Sus scrofa: one gene and its partners. The protein of the gene in region 1 interacts with the protein of each later gene in a pairwise test. Links are inferred from orthologs where the notes say so. Each region holds a gene or a part of one and is shown in the gene's direction. Other genes may lie near its edges. The genes, in order: EXOSC5, TNFAIP1 and FCHO1.

Region 1 (3,082 bases):
TCAAAACACTTGGCTTGTGGTGTTCCTGATGGGGTTCAGCAGAAATGAATCTGACTAGCATCCATGAGGATGCAGGTTCGATCCCTGGCCTCGCTCAGTGGGTTAAGGATCTAGCATTGGCGTGAGCTGTGGTGTAGGCCGCAGCTGCAGTCCAATTCACCCTGTCTTGGGAACCTCCATGTGCTGTGGGTGTGGCCCTAAAAAGACCAAAAAACAAACAAAAAAAACAAAATGGTTGGCTTGTACCACTTCAGTCCCAGCTGGCAAGCTCTGCTCCATTCATCTGGGCAAGTGCTGGAAACCCAACTCTAGCCCACTTCAACAAAAAGAGAAATGATTTTAAGAGGTGCAGAAGCAAAGAAGGAGAGAGCTTTTTCTTCACTGGCTCAAGTTCATAGTGTGCTGGGGCTCTGGTTATTCCTAGTTATCTGCCCAAGACTGAAACAGTCACATCCAGGTGGGAAAGCCAAAACCCCTTGGGGGATTTCAGACAGAGGGAATTTAATGCAGGGAACTGATTACAATCATATTGGAAGAACTGAAAGCAAAAAAAGAAGGGAGGACGCCCAGAGATTAGGCGCCCTGAAGCCAACTCCTGCTCTGTGCTATTGGAGACACTGGTACGGTTTCCATGGCAGGCAATATACCCCAAACTCCTGCTACTACAAGGACCAGGATGCTGCTCTGCTTCCTTCCAGTCTCCCACCAGATTCCTGGGGAAACCTAACTAGCAGGAGAATCTGGAAATACAGTTTGCTGGCTTCCAGCCCCAGGGGCACAGAGCAACAAGGGGAGGCTGGGAGACACAGGCGAATGACCGACACATGGCTGCCCTGTGGCCCAGGATACAGTGCTCAGAAGCCCCTGTCAGAACCATGTGGTAGAGTCGTGTGGGCAACCATTTCCCGGGGGAGCAGGGACGGGGTAGTATGTACACACAAAAAAAATCACTAGTGTTCATGAGAATGTGGGTTTGATCCCTGGCCTCGCCCAGTGGGTTCAGGATCCGGTGTTGCCATAAGCTGCAGTAAGTCATGGAGGCAGCTTGGGTCCCACATGACTGTGGTGTAGGCCCAGCAGCTGCAGCTCCAATTCAGACCCTAGACTGGGAACTTCCATATGCCGTAGGTGTGGCCCTGAAAAGAAAAATTGTAAAAGTAAGCCCCCCTCTTTGAGACAACTGAGATTGTGGCTGAGGGGAGAGTCCCAGGTCCCCCACCTTGTACCCCTTGTCCCTAGGAGGCCCGGGCGGTCCTGACCTTTGCTCTTGACAGTGTGGAACGGAAGCTGCTGATGTCCACCACCAAGGGACTCTACTCAGATGCTGAGGTACCAGCCTGCAACGGGGTGAAAGCCAGGTCCTTCCTGTCCACCTGATAAGAGGCCCTATTCCAACCCTGAGAGGCTTAAGGAGAGCCCCTTCCATGCCTGCCTTCTGTAAATAGGAGGCGTTTTCAAACTTTTAGCCTTAGAGACCTTTGGGAATTTTTAAAGGGAGCCCAGTTTATGAGAAGAGAGGAGGGGCTCAGGTTGAAATCAGGAGCTGGGAGCACCTGAAGGCCTTCCAGCTTCCAGCTCAGAGCTGCACGCTCTGGAATTCAGGGTGTCTGAAAAACAGAGTGGCCACTGTTGGGCCAGGTGGTCTCCAGGAGCATTGCCCACCTGGCCTTCCTGTGAGTCCAGGCACACATGGCAGTAAAGATGTGGGGGCTTGGATTCTGTAGCTCTGAAATTCCAATCTCTGATTCCAGAGCCCGGCAGGTTGGAATCGCTTCCAGGGGTCAGGATGGCTGATCCTGTTAATCTGAGCACCATTGCCCTGGAACTGATGGAATCTGACCCCTGAAGCCTTCCCCGTTCCCCCGCCCCCAAGGAGCCCGGGACGTGGGGAAGAAGGAAATACACTTGTAATTTCCCTCACCCCCCTGCCTCGCTGGGGTGAGGGGGACACCCAGTGAAGGGGGGTAGTAGGTTTGTGGGTTCTGGGGGTCAGGTGGGGCCGGGGGAACCTCCTGGCCCCCCAGCACCCACCCAGCTCTCCTTCCAGCTCCAGCAGTGCCTGGCTGCAGCCCAGACTGCCTCCCAACACGTCTTCCGCTTCTACCGGGAATCGCTGCAGAGGCGTTACTCCAAGAGCTGAGGCAGCCAAGAGCTGAGGCAGGCCAGGGCAGGTGCCCCTCCCGCCACCGCCCACTCCCTCCAGTACCAACTAAACCAGCAGCCCGGCCCTGCCTGTCTGTCCTTGTGCGTGGGGGTGAGCTTGTGGCTCTGTCACTGCAGGAGCCCCTAACCTGCCAGGAATGTGTGGCTAATAGCCCCAGGGTCTGCCCCACCCCAAGAAAACGGATTGTGCATTTATTGAATGAACCTACTCATCTCAACAGCCCTGCAAGGCCTGTTACAGTGTGTGGGCCCTACCAGGTGCTGAGGCCATGGCAATGTATGGGACCCAGGTCCTGGGTTTTGAGAAGCAGTGCTGTGATAGACAAATAAAATTTGTGTTTGTTGGAGAGTGGTAAATGCTATTTTGAAAAAAGAAAAGCAGGGAAGAGGGTTTCAGCGAGTTCATTTGGGGAAGGCAGATGGAATACAGTCTGGGGCACCTTCATGGGAGGAGTCTGAGGGAAGCCCAGGAGGAAGCCGGGATGCGCTCAGTGGATACCTGGGGAGATGACCCCCTGGCAGCGGGTTTTGAGGGCCTCGGAGGGGAGTCTGGCCTCTGCGTGCTGCTTTTACTCACTCAAAAAGGGTGTGGTTGGGCTGTTATAGTCCCTTTGTAAGAAAACAAGCTCAGAAGCCAGTTAACTGCCAGAGGTCACCAGCTGGTTAGTGGTGGAGCATGGGTCCCACTCAGAACCTATACCCAGAGCCTCCACTGTTCGGGCAAACCCGGGAGATGCGGGTCTGGTACACTCTGCACTTTGCTTCCCTGCCTGTGAACGGGGGTGGCTGAGGTCTGTTGGTTCTCAGTCACGGGTGGCAGCATCTCACAAGGGCTTTTGAAAATGGGCGTATTCTGTGCCACAGCAGCAACCCAAGCCATTGCAGTGACAACCCCCGAACCTTGACCTTCTGTGCCAGT
Region 2 (4,171 bases), on another chromosome or scaffold:
TAGCATAGTGCCTGCATAGAACTTGCACTCAGCAAATGTTTGTGGTATGAATGACTGCTAAAACAGAGCAGGCTAGGAGTTCCCATTGTGGCGCAGCAGAAACCAATCTGACTAGGAACCATGAGGTTGAGGGTTAGATCCCTGGCCCCTCTCATTGGGTTAAGGATCCCACGTGTTGAGGTGAGCTGTGGTGTAGGTGGCAGATCCGATCTGGTGTGGCTGTGGTGTAGGCCGGCAGCTGTAGCTTCGATTCAGCCCCTAGCCTGGGAATCTCCATATGCGGCGAGTGCGGCCCTAAAAAGAGGCAAGAAAAACAAAAACACCAGAGCAGGCTATTACAGTAACCAAGGCTTGGAGCTGAAGGAAAGTGTTCCGAATTGTTTGGTAAAGTCGAGTTGATAGGACTTAGTAAAGGATGAATGAAAGTAGGGGTTTGGAGAGGAGTGAAGGAGAGTCAGGTAAGATTCCCATGCATCTGGCTTGAGCCAGATGTATGGTTGGAAGGGATGGTTGAATGAGATGGATCGGGCCTGAAGAAGTGGAGAGAGAGGGTTCGCAGCCGACTACCGGATTCTCTCCCAACTCCCACCGCACGCTCATCTGAGGAACACTGGGTATAAAGGCCGAATTGAGTTCCCTGAAGATGAGAAGGACGTCGCGCTCTCGTCCCCCCACCATCCCCACCACCACCCTGGCTCTGGCTCTACGCTGGCCGCTACCTCCACCCGCGCGGTGTGGAGAAAGTTAGGAAAAGCTGGGTGATGGGGCTGGTTGTCTTCACTACGTAAACTCCTTGAACTTATCTGAGCCGCAGTTTCCTCCTAGGAGGGTTGCGAGCGTCAGAGCGAAAAGCTCGAGGCCCAAGCCCGGGTAAAACCGCTCCCAGAGTCGGGAGGAATTCCCACATTTCTTTCGCCCTGGGACTGCTTTTCCTCGGGGCGCGGGCCTGTCAGGCTCTTCCTGCCCCGGGCCCATCCCCGACCCGAAGTCACAGCCTACCTGTCCACCCCGCAGCGGCAGCGCCTGCGGCTCAGGCTGAGGTCCGCAGGCAACTCCCCTCTCGCGTCAGGGCAGCCGGTACCCAGCCAGCCAGCTTGCCTCAGCCGCTGCCACGGCTACAAGACCTGTTTACGCCTAACGTCACTTCCGGGCACAGGAAGCACTTACACCCATCCAGCTGGCAGAGCATGCTGGGAGACAGAGGCCTGGGAAGAGGGATGGCTGCCTACAAGACCCAGAGGTCTTTGCGCCGGAAAGTCGGCCTGAAGTAGGTGTACGCTCGCTGCGGAATACTCTTGGGGGCTCCTCCCTCCGCCCTGATTGGGTGCTATGTCTGCCCGGCCTCACAGTCTCAGGCCCTGGCCGCCTGGGGGCGGAGTCCGGGGGTGGTGAATGTGAGTTTACCGCCCGAGATTGCTGGCGGGCAAGCGGTGGTCTAGGGGCGGCGCGGTGTCGACTTGCAACCCAGCTGAGAGGAGAAGCGCCACCAGGGAGGGTGAGAGCCGAGTCTGCCCATGCCCTAGGGGAAGGGATGGACGGGTCCTGGGCTGAGCCAAGAGAACCCTACCCGGTCCTGGGGAAAAGGCGTGGGACGGCGAAGGGAGGTGGAGATCTCAAATCCTTTGGGTGGGTGTTAGAGCCGGTCTCGGTTTCTCGGTGGTGAGGCGGGGTACGGGTTGAGGAAGACTCTACAGTGGCCACAGAGAGGTTGAGTCTCGCTAAATTTCCCCAAACCCTTTGGCTGAAGCATGAGATTTACACGCTTGGATTTACACCCTTGGATTTCTGCTAGATTCCCCCCTCTGTAGGGGATCGGCTCCTCCTCTCGCCATGCTCCGTGTGATGGGTTTCTCGGACCTTCTTTCCTTAGGACCCCACTTCTATCACCGCCTTGTTTGTTTGGCCTTTATTCGGCTTGGGTTCCCATTAGCTTCACCGAGCGTGACACGGATACGCCCCTAGCATCCCCAAATACCCACACACAAAGTCCGGAAGGAAGAGCACTGAGGCTCTCAGTGGAAACTTCATTCTCACTGGAATTACTTTCTGGGGCGTCACCTGCCACAGGATTCCAGGAACCCATTGGCCTGGGCGGAATCTGAGCGGGTGGAATCTGGGCTGATGTCATCCATGGGCTCAAAGCAATTGCTTTGTAGGAAAAAGAAGAGATTAGCTTGGATTTGTCTTCCTCTGTTGGCAGCCGCTGTTAAGGGGTGGATTTATTCCTTTGGGGTGGGCGGAGGAAGGTAAGGTGACCTCATACCATTCAGGTTTACTTACTGATTGGGCAATCCGCTGGTGGGGGCTCATCTCATCCCTACTGAACCAGCCACCAGAGGAATTCGGCATTTCATACAGCACCTGCTCTGGCGCTTCCTTGGACTCTCTTCACAGGGACCTACCTAAATCTTTTCAGGGACAATTTCAGTCTAACACACTGACATATTAAATACTTCAGAATGTGCATAGCATTCTGCTAAGCACATTTCTGGGTTAGACTTAGAGGAGATGATGATGAAGTCATTTCACTTTTTTTTTTCTGACTCCATCACCACCACTGTAGTCCAGGTCTTCATCCTCTCTTGCCAACTCTTCCTCCGTCTGCACCCTACAATCCATTCTCCTCACAGCAGCAGAATGATCGCAGATTCTGTCACTCCCCAGCTCTAAACCCTACACTCAATGCCACTGCAATTAGTATAAAACCCAAACTCTCCAATATGATCCAGCCCATTTGCCCCTTCTTGCTGTGCACCAGCCATCTTGCCCTTATTTCTGTTACTAAAACTTGTGTCTGAGGAGCTTTGCACTTACTATTCTGTAAGAGCATCTCTCTGGAATGCTCTTTCAGACCTCAGCTGGAACGTCACCTACCCTAAGATGCTTTCCCTGATTCCCCATCTAAATTAGTGCCTCTCTGTAGTCACTCTCTTATCTCTGTTTTATTGTCTTTATTACATTTCTCACCTTCTGGAATTACCTGCTCATTTATTTATTTTCTTGTTTGTTGCCTGTTTCTTCCCACTAGAACGTAAACTCCCAGAGGCTGTGACTTGTTTGTTCACTTCTGTATCCCAGGCACCCAGCACAAAGCAGGAGCATAATAAATGCTAATTCTTATTAGTTTTATTCTTGGTAACATTATCATGCTTCTTTGAACTTCCTGAAGGCAAGGACAATATCTTTTCATCTCTCTCTCCCCACTACTTAACCTCGAAGGCACACGATATTGTTTTATTGCCAAATGAATTAAATGAGCTGATATATATTAAATGCTTAGAATAGTACCTGGAACATAGTAAACACGCAGAGAATGTTGGCTGTTTTTTTTTCTTTCAGTGAATGAATTTTAGTGTTACTTTAGAAAACCAGGACATATGATGTAGAATCCAGATCGCGAGGGGTGACCTGGGTTTGCCCTCCTCTGCTTTCCTCCCGCCTCCCTCCTATGAACTCCTCTTAACATTTCAGTTTTCAAATCACCTACTGTATTTCAAGTTATCGTCTGGCCTTTTCTAGCCCTTTCTCCCCATTCTTGTTGGGCAGGAAGAGAGAGGGCTGGGGCCCCCCCCTTAGGAAAAAGAACCAAAAATAGCTATCCTGTCGTTGTTCTAGCCTGAAAAATGGTTTCAATTTCAGGAACTGGGGACAGGGCTGATGCCAAAAAAAAAAGGGGGAAGATCAGGAAACCCCGACTGGAGCTCAGGTGACCTCTGCCAGGAACACTGGCTGGCTCCCTCCAGCCTGGCTCCATCCATGCTCTCCTAAAGCTGCTTTTACTTGCCTGCCCGAAGCCAGACTCTGGGTGATGTCAAAGGAAGCACTGGTGCGGGCTGTGCTGCTCTGGAATCGCTAGAGAGGAAGTGCATCCTGTCCCTCAGACTCCTGGGAAACTCCTAGGCTGGCTGGATTCCAGTAGGTTTGGCTTCAAGTCTTAGGTCTTGGGAACCTTGAGAAGAAAACAGCTGAATCTGACTGGTGGGTCCTGCCCAGCCTGTTTCTGGAGCTGTCTCTGACTAGCTCCAAGGGTGTGCTTGTCCTCCCTGCTGCCCAGAGCTGGTGAGGCAACCAGCCCTGGGTTCTGGAAGGCTGTGCTCCCAGACCTGGTTCCTGGTGCCATGAAGAACAGCAGGAATGTCCTCTGCCATTACCTAGGGCCTTAGCCTCTGCC
Region 3 (3,647 bases), on another chromosome or scaffold:
TTTAAAAAATTAGGGAACAAAGGAGTTCCCCTTATGGCTCATCAGTTAATGAATCTGACCAGCATCCATGAGGACACGTATTTGATCCCTGGCCTTGCTCAGTGGAATTGCCATGAGCTGTGGTGTAGGTCGCAGACATGGCTCAGATCCCGTGTTGCTGTGGCTGTGGTGTAGGCTGGCAGCTATAGCTCTGATTCGATCCCTAGCCTGGGAACCTCTATATGCTGCAGATGTAGCCTGAAAAAACAAAAAAACAAAAACCAAAAATAATAAAATTAGGGAACAAAGAAATTTTTCAATGGGCTGATGTGGAACAATCTTGGGAATGGATTCAGTGGGAAAAACTTGTGAACTAAGCAATATGGACTGTCACCATTTGTCCCAAAAAATGGGCTAGCACAAGCACATTTGCTGGTCTATGAGCCAATTATTTCTGGAGACATATGATGATAATGGGAAACTCCTAGGCAGAGGCCTGGGAGGCTGGGGATCAGGGAGGGTGTGGGAGGTTTTTACCTGAGCTCACCCCTGAAAACTTTCCGAAATGTGAATTATGTGTAAATATTTAAGCTTTTGAAGTTAAAGGCATTCCCATTGTGGCCCAGCGGGTTAAGAATCTCACTAGCGTCTCTGAAGATATGGGTTCGATCCCTGGCCTTGCTCAGTGGGTTAAGGATCCAGTGTTGCTGTGAGCTTCAGCATAAGTCTCATTGCTGTGGCTGTGGTGTAGGCTGCAGCTGCAGCTCCAATTTGACCCCTAGCCCAGGAACTTCCATATGCCACAGGTACAGCCCAAAAAAGGAAAAAAAAATTTTTTTAATTAATAGAATACTCGAAAAAAGTACTCTGTAGGACCTGGAATCCCAGAGTTTTGGAAGCTGGGAAAGTCACAGGTCTGCTCAGGTCCTGCGTCCCAGCAGGGGCTTCAAGTGGACCCCCCCACCACGCTCTTTTTTTCCCCATCTCCCCAGTGCAAAGAGGAAGCGCTGGGTACCCTGGATGCCGTGCAGGTCCTTGCAGGCGTCAGCCAGCTCCTGCCCAAGTCCCGCGAGAACTACCTGAATCGTTGCATGGACCAGGAGCGGCTGCGGAGGGAGAGCACCAGCCAGAAGGAGATGGACAAGGTGGGCACGTGGCTGCAGGTTCCCAGATGCCACTAGCCCACACAGAAATGAGGAATTTGCCCAGGGGTGGTGGGGCTGCCTGTTAAGAAAGTGAAAAACATATTATACAGCAAGGATCACTGAACCTGCATGAACCACACTCCTGGGTAGACCCAAGGAGTCCACCTGCTAGGGGGAGGGGATGGGGGGAGTGTCCTGAATGTCCCTCTCCCAGCCCCTTCCTCCCCCTGGGCCTCCTAGGCAGAGGCCAAGACCAAGAAGGCGGCAGAGAGCCTGCGGCGTTCAGTGGAGAAATACAACTCAGCCCGCGCTGACTTCGAACAGAAGATGCTGGACTCGGCTCTGGTAAGCATCGGGCATTCATAACTTGGAGACCCACACATTTCTGGGCCCAGGATGCTATGGGCCTCAGAAGTCCAGAACCTCCCAAACGTCAACTTCCAGGAGCCTTAGAATCACAGACTTAAAGCCATAGAATTCTAGAGCCAGTTAACTATTGTATTGTTGGTAGCGATATTATTTCAAAAACCAAATCACTTTTGTGCCTTAGTTTCCCCATCTGTAAATGGGGACAATAATAATAGTACCTGCTTCGGAGTTCTCGTCGTGGCGCAGCAGAAACGAATCTGACTAGCATCCATGAGGACTCAGGTTTGATCCCCGGCCTTTCTCAGTGGGTTAAGGATCTGGCTTTGCTGTGGCTGTGATGTAGGCCAGTGGCTACAGCTCCTATTGGACCCCTAGCCTAGGAACCTCCATATGCCTTGGGTGCGGCCCTAAAAAGACAAAAATAATAATAATAATAATAATAGAACCTGCTTCACAGAGTTGTTGTGAAGATTAAATGAGTCACAATATGTGAAGTTTTCAGACTAGTACTGAGTGCATAGAAACCACTCTGTGAAGTATTATTATTACTATTTCTTTCTATTTTTTTTTTCTTTTTGCTTTTTAGGGCCACACTGGCAGCATATGGAAGTTCCCAGGCTGGGGGTTGAATCAGAGCTACAGCTGCTGGCCTATGTGACAGGCATAGAAATGCAGGATCCTTAACTTACTGAGTGAGGCCAGGGATTGAACCTGCATCCTCATGGATATCAGCTAAGTTTGTAACCCGCTGAGAACAACAGGAACTCCTATTTTTATTATTATTAATGAGTTTTTTAATAAGATCAGGCAGAGTTTAGATGCTGAGACATGTCATGGTGGCCTGGTCTAGCCTTCATCTCTCATCAGCTGTGCAACTTTTAACAAGACACCACACCTCTCTGGGTCTCTGTCCACCCAAATGTTTAAAAAGCAGATTGGGATCTCAGGATTAAGAATCAGGTTTTTTTTTTGGGAGTTCCCGTCGTTTGTTTTTTGTTTTTTTTTTATTTTGTGGTGATAGAAAGTTGCAAGTGATACAAATTTTCATTCTAACTGACAAAGAGGAGTTCCCTGGTGGTCTAGTGGGTTGAAGATCCAGCATCATCATTTCTGTGGCTCAGGTTGCTGCTATGGCATGGGTTTGGTCCCTGGCCCAGGAACTTCCACATGCCACAGGTGCGGCCAAAAAAGAACTGGCAAGGAGATTTATAGGCTAAGGGAACTGAACAGTTTGAGGAAGGGCTTCAGGCATGGCTGGGTCCAGGTACTCAAATGGTGTGGCAGTAAGTTGTACCTCTCTGCTTCTTAAGTCTGTTTTTCTCCCTGAGGTCTTCACTCCTAGGCAGACATGCCCTCCTGGATATGTGTGTGTGTGTGTGTGTGTGTGTGTGTAGCAAAGTAGCCACCAGCAAGTTCCCCCCCCCCCACCCCATGCATCCACCAACTCCTTAGCTCAGGGTATGAAAGTGTTTTTCTCTATAGTTCCAGCAAAAGTCTCAGGGCTCTTCCCCAAACCAATCACTGAGGCCAGGGGGTTGGAATGTTCTGGTTGGTCAGGCTGGGTCACACAGCCACTCCTTGTGGTTCCACCTGCCACCTTCCCATTGGTCCCTCCCCTCCTGCCTCAGCGCTTCCAAGCCATGGAGGAGACCCACTTGCGGCAAATGAAGGCACTTCTGGGCTCTTATGCCCACTCAGTGGAGGACACCCATGTGCAGATTGGGCAGGTGAGTGGGGCTGGGTCCGGGGAACAAGGCTGGGGTGCTGGGCAAGAGGGCCCTGGCCCTGCCTGGTTACACACCCCATCCGCCTGGCCCAGGTGCATGAGGAGTTTAAGCAGAACATAGAAAACGTCAGTGTGGAGATGCTGCTGAGAAAGTTTGCAGAAAGCAAGGGCACAGGCCGGGAGAAGCCTGGTGAGTTGGGGCATCTGTGCGGGTTGGGCCATGGAGCCACAGCTATAGGGAAAGAACAGGACTCAAGAAGCGAGAGAATGAGTCTCCTTGGGCCTCATTTTTCCTCATCAGGAAAATGGGCTGATGACAGATCTAAGTCAGCAACCCACAGAGGAAGAGGATTTGATGCCAGATCTTATGTGTAAATCTCTTACAACCAGATATCAGAGGGGCCTTGAATGCCAAGGTCAGCCTCTCA

What was found.
Region 2: the proteins of EXOSC5 (region 1) and TNFAIP1 interact in binary tests that used the Homo sapiens proteins (3 or more experiments, as listed by UniProt). The two-hybrid records come from large-scale screens. The link is inferred for Sus scrofa from reciprocal best matches to the Homo sapiens genes EXOSC5 and TNFAIP1.
Region 3: the proteins of EXOSC5 (region 1) and FCHO1 interact in binary tests that used the Homo sapiens proteins (3 or more experiments, as listed by UniProt). The two-hybrid records come from large-scale screens. The link is inferred for Sus scrofa from reciprocal best matches to the Homo sapiens genes EXOSC5 and FCHO1.

What each region holds. Positions count from the first base shown.
Region 1 is NC_010448.4:49,372,806-49,375,887, reverse strand, and holds the end of EXOSC5 (exosome complex component RRP46), read left to right. Parts: intron 1-1,239; coding exon 1,240-1,329; intron 1,330-2,047; coding exon 2,048-2,140; 3' UTR 2,141-2,510; downstream 2,511-3,082. UniProt on the Homo sapiens protein: Non-catalytic component of the RNA exosome complex which has 3'->5' exoribonuclease activity and participates in a multitude of cellular RNA processing and degradation events.
Region 2 is NC_010454.4:44,615,534-44,619,704, forward strand, and holds the start of TNFAIP1 (BTB/POZ domain-containing adapter for CUL3-mediated RhoA degradation protein 2), read left to right. Parts: upstream 1-1,306; 5' UTR 1,307-1,495; intron 1,496-4,171. UniProt on the Homo sapiens protein: Substrate-specific adapter of a BCR (BTB-CUL3-RBX1) E3 ubiquitin-protein ligase complex involved in regulation of cytoskeleton structure.
Region 3 is NC_010444.4:59,969,921-59,973,567, reverse strand, and holds part of FCHO1 (F-BAR domain only protein 1), read left to right. Parts: intron 1-971; coding exon 972-1,124; intron 1,125-1,364; coding exon 1,365-1,469; intron 1,470-3,121; coding exon 3,122-3,220; intron 3,221-3,312; coding exon 3,313-3,409; intron 3,410-3,647. UniProt on the Homo sapiens protein: Functions in an early step of clathrin-mediated endocytosis. Has both a membrane binding/bending activity and the ability to recruit proteins essential to the formation of functional clathrin-coated pits.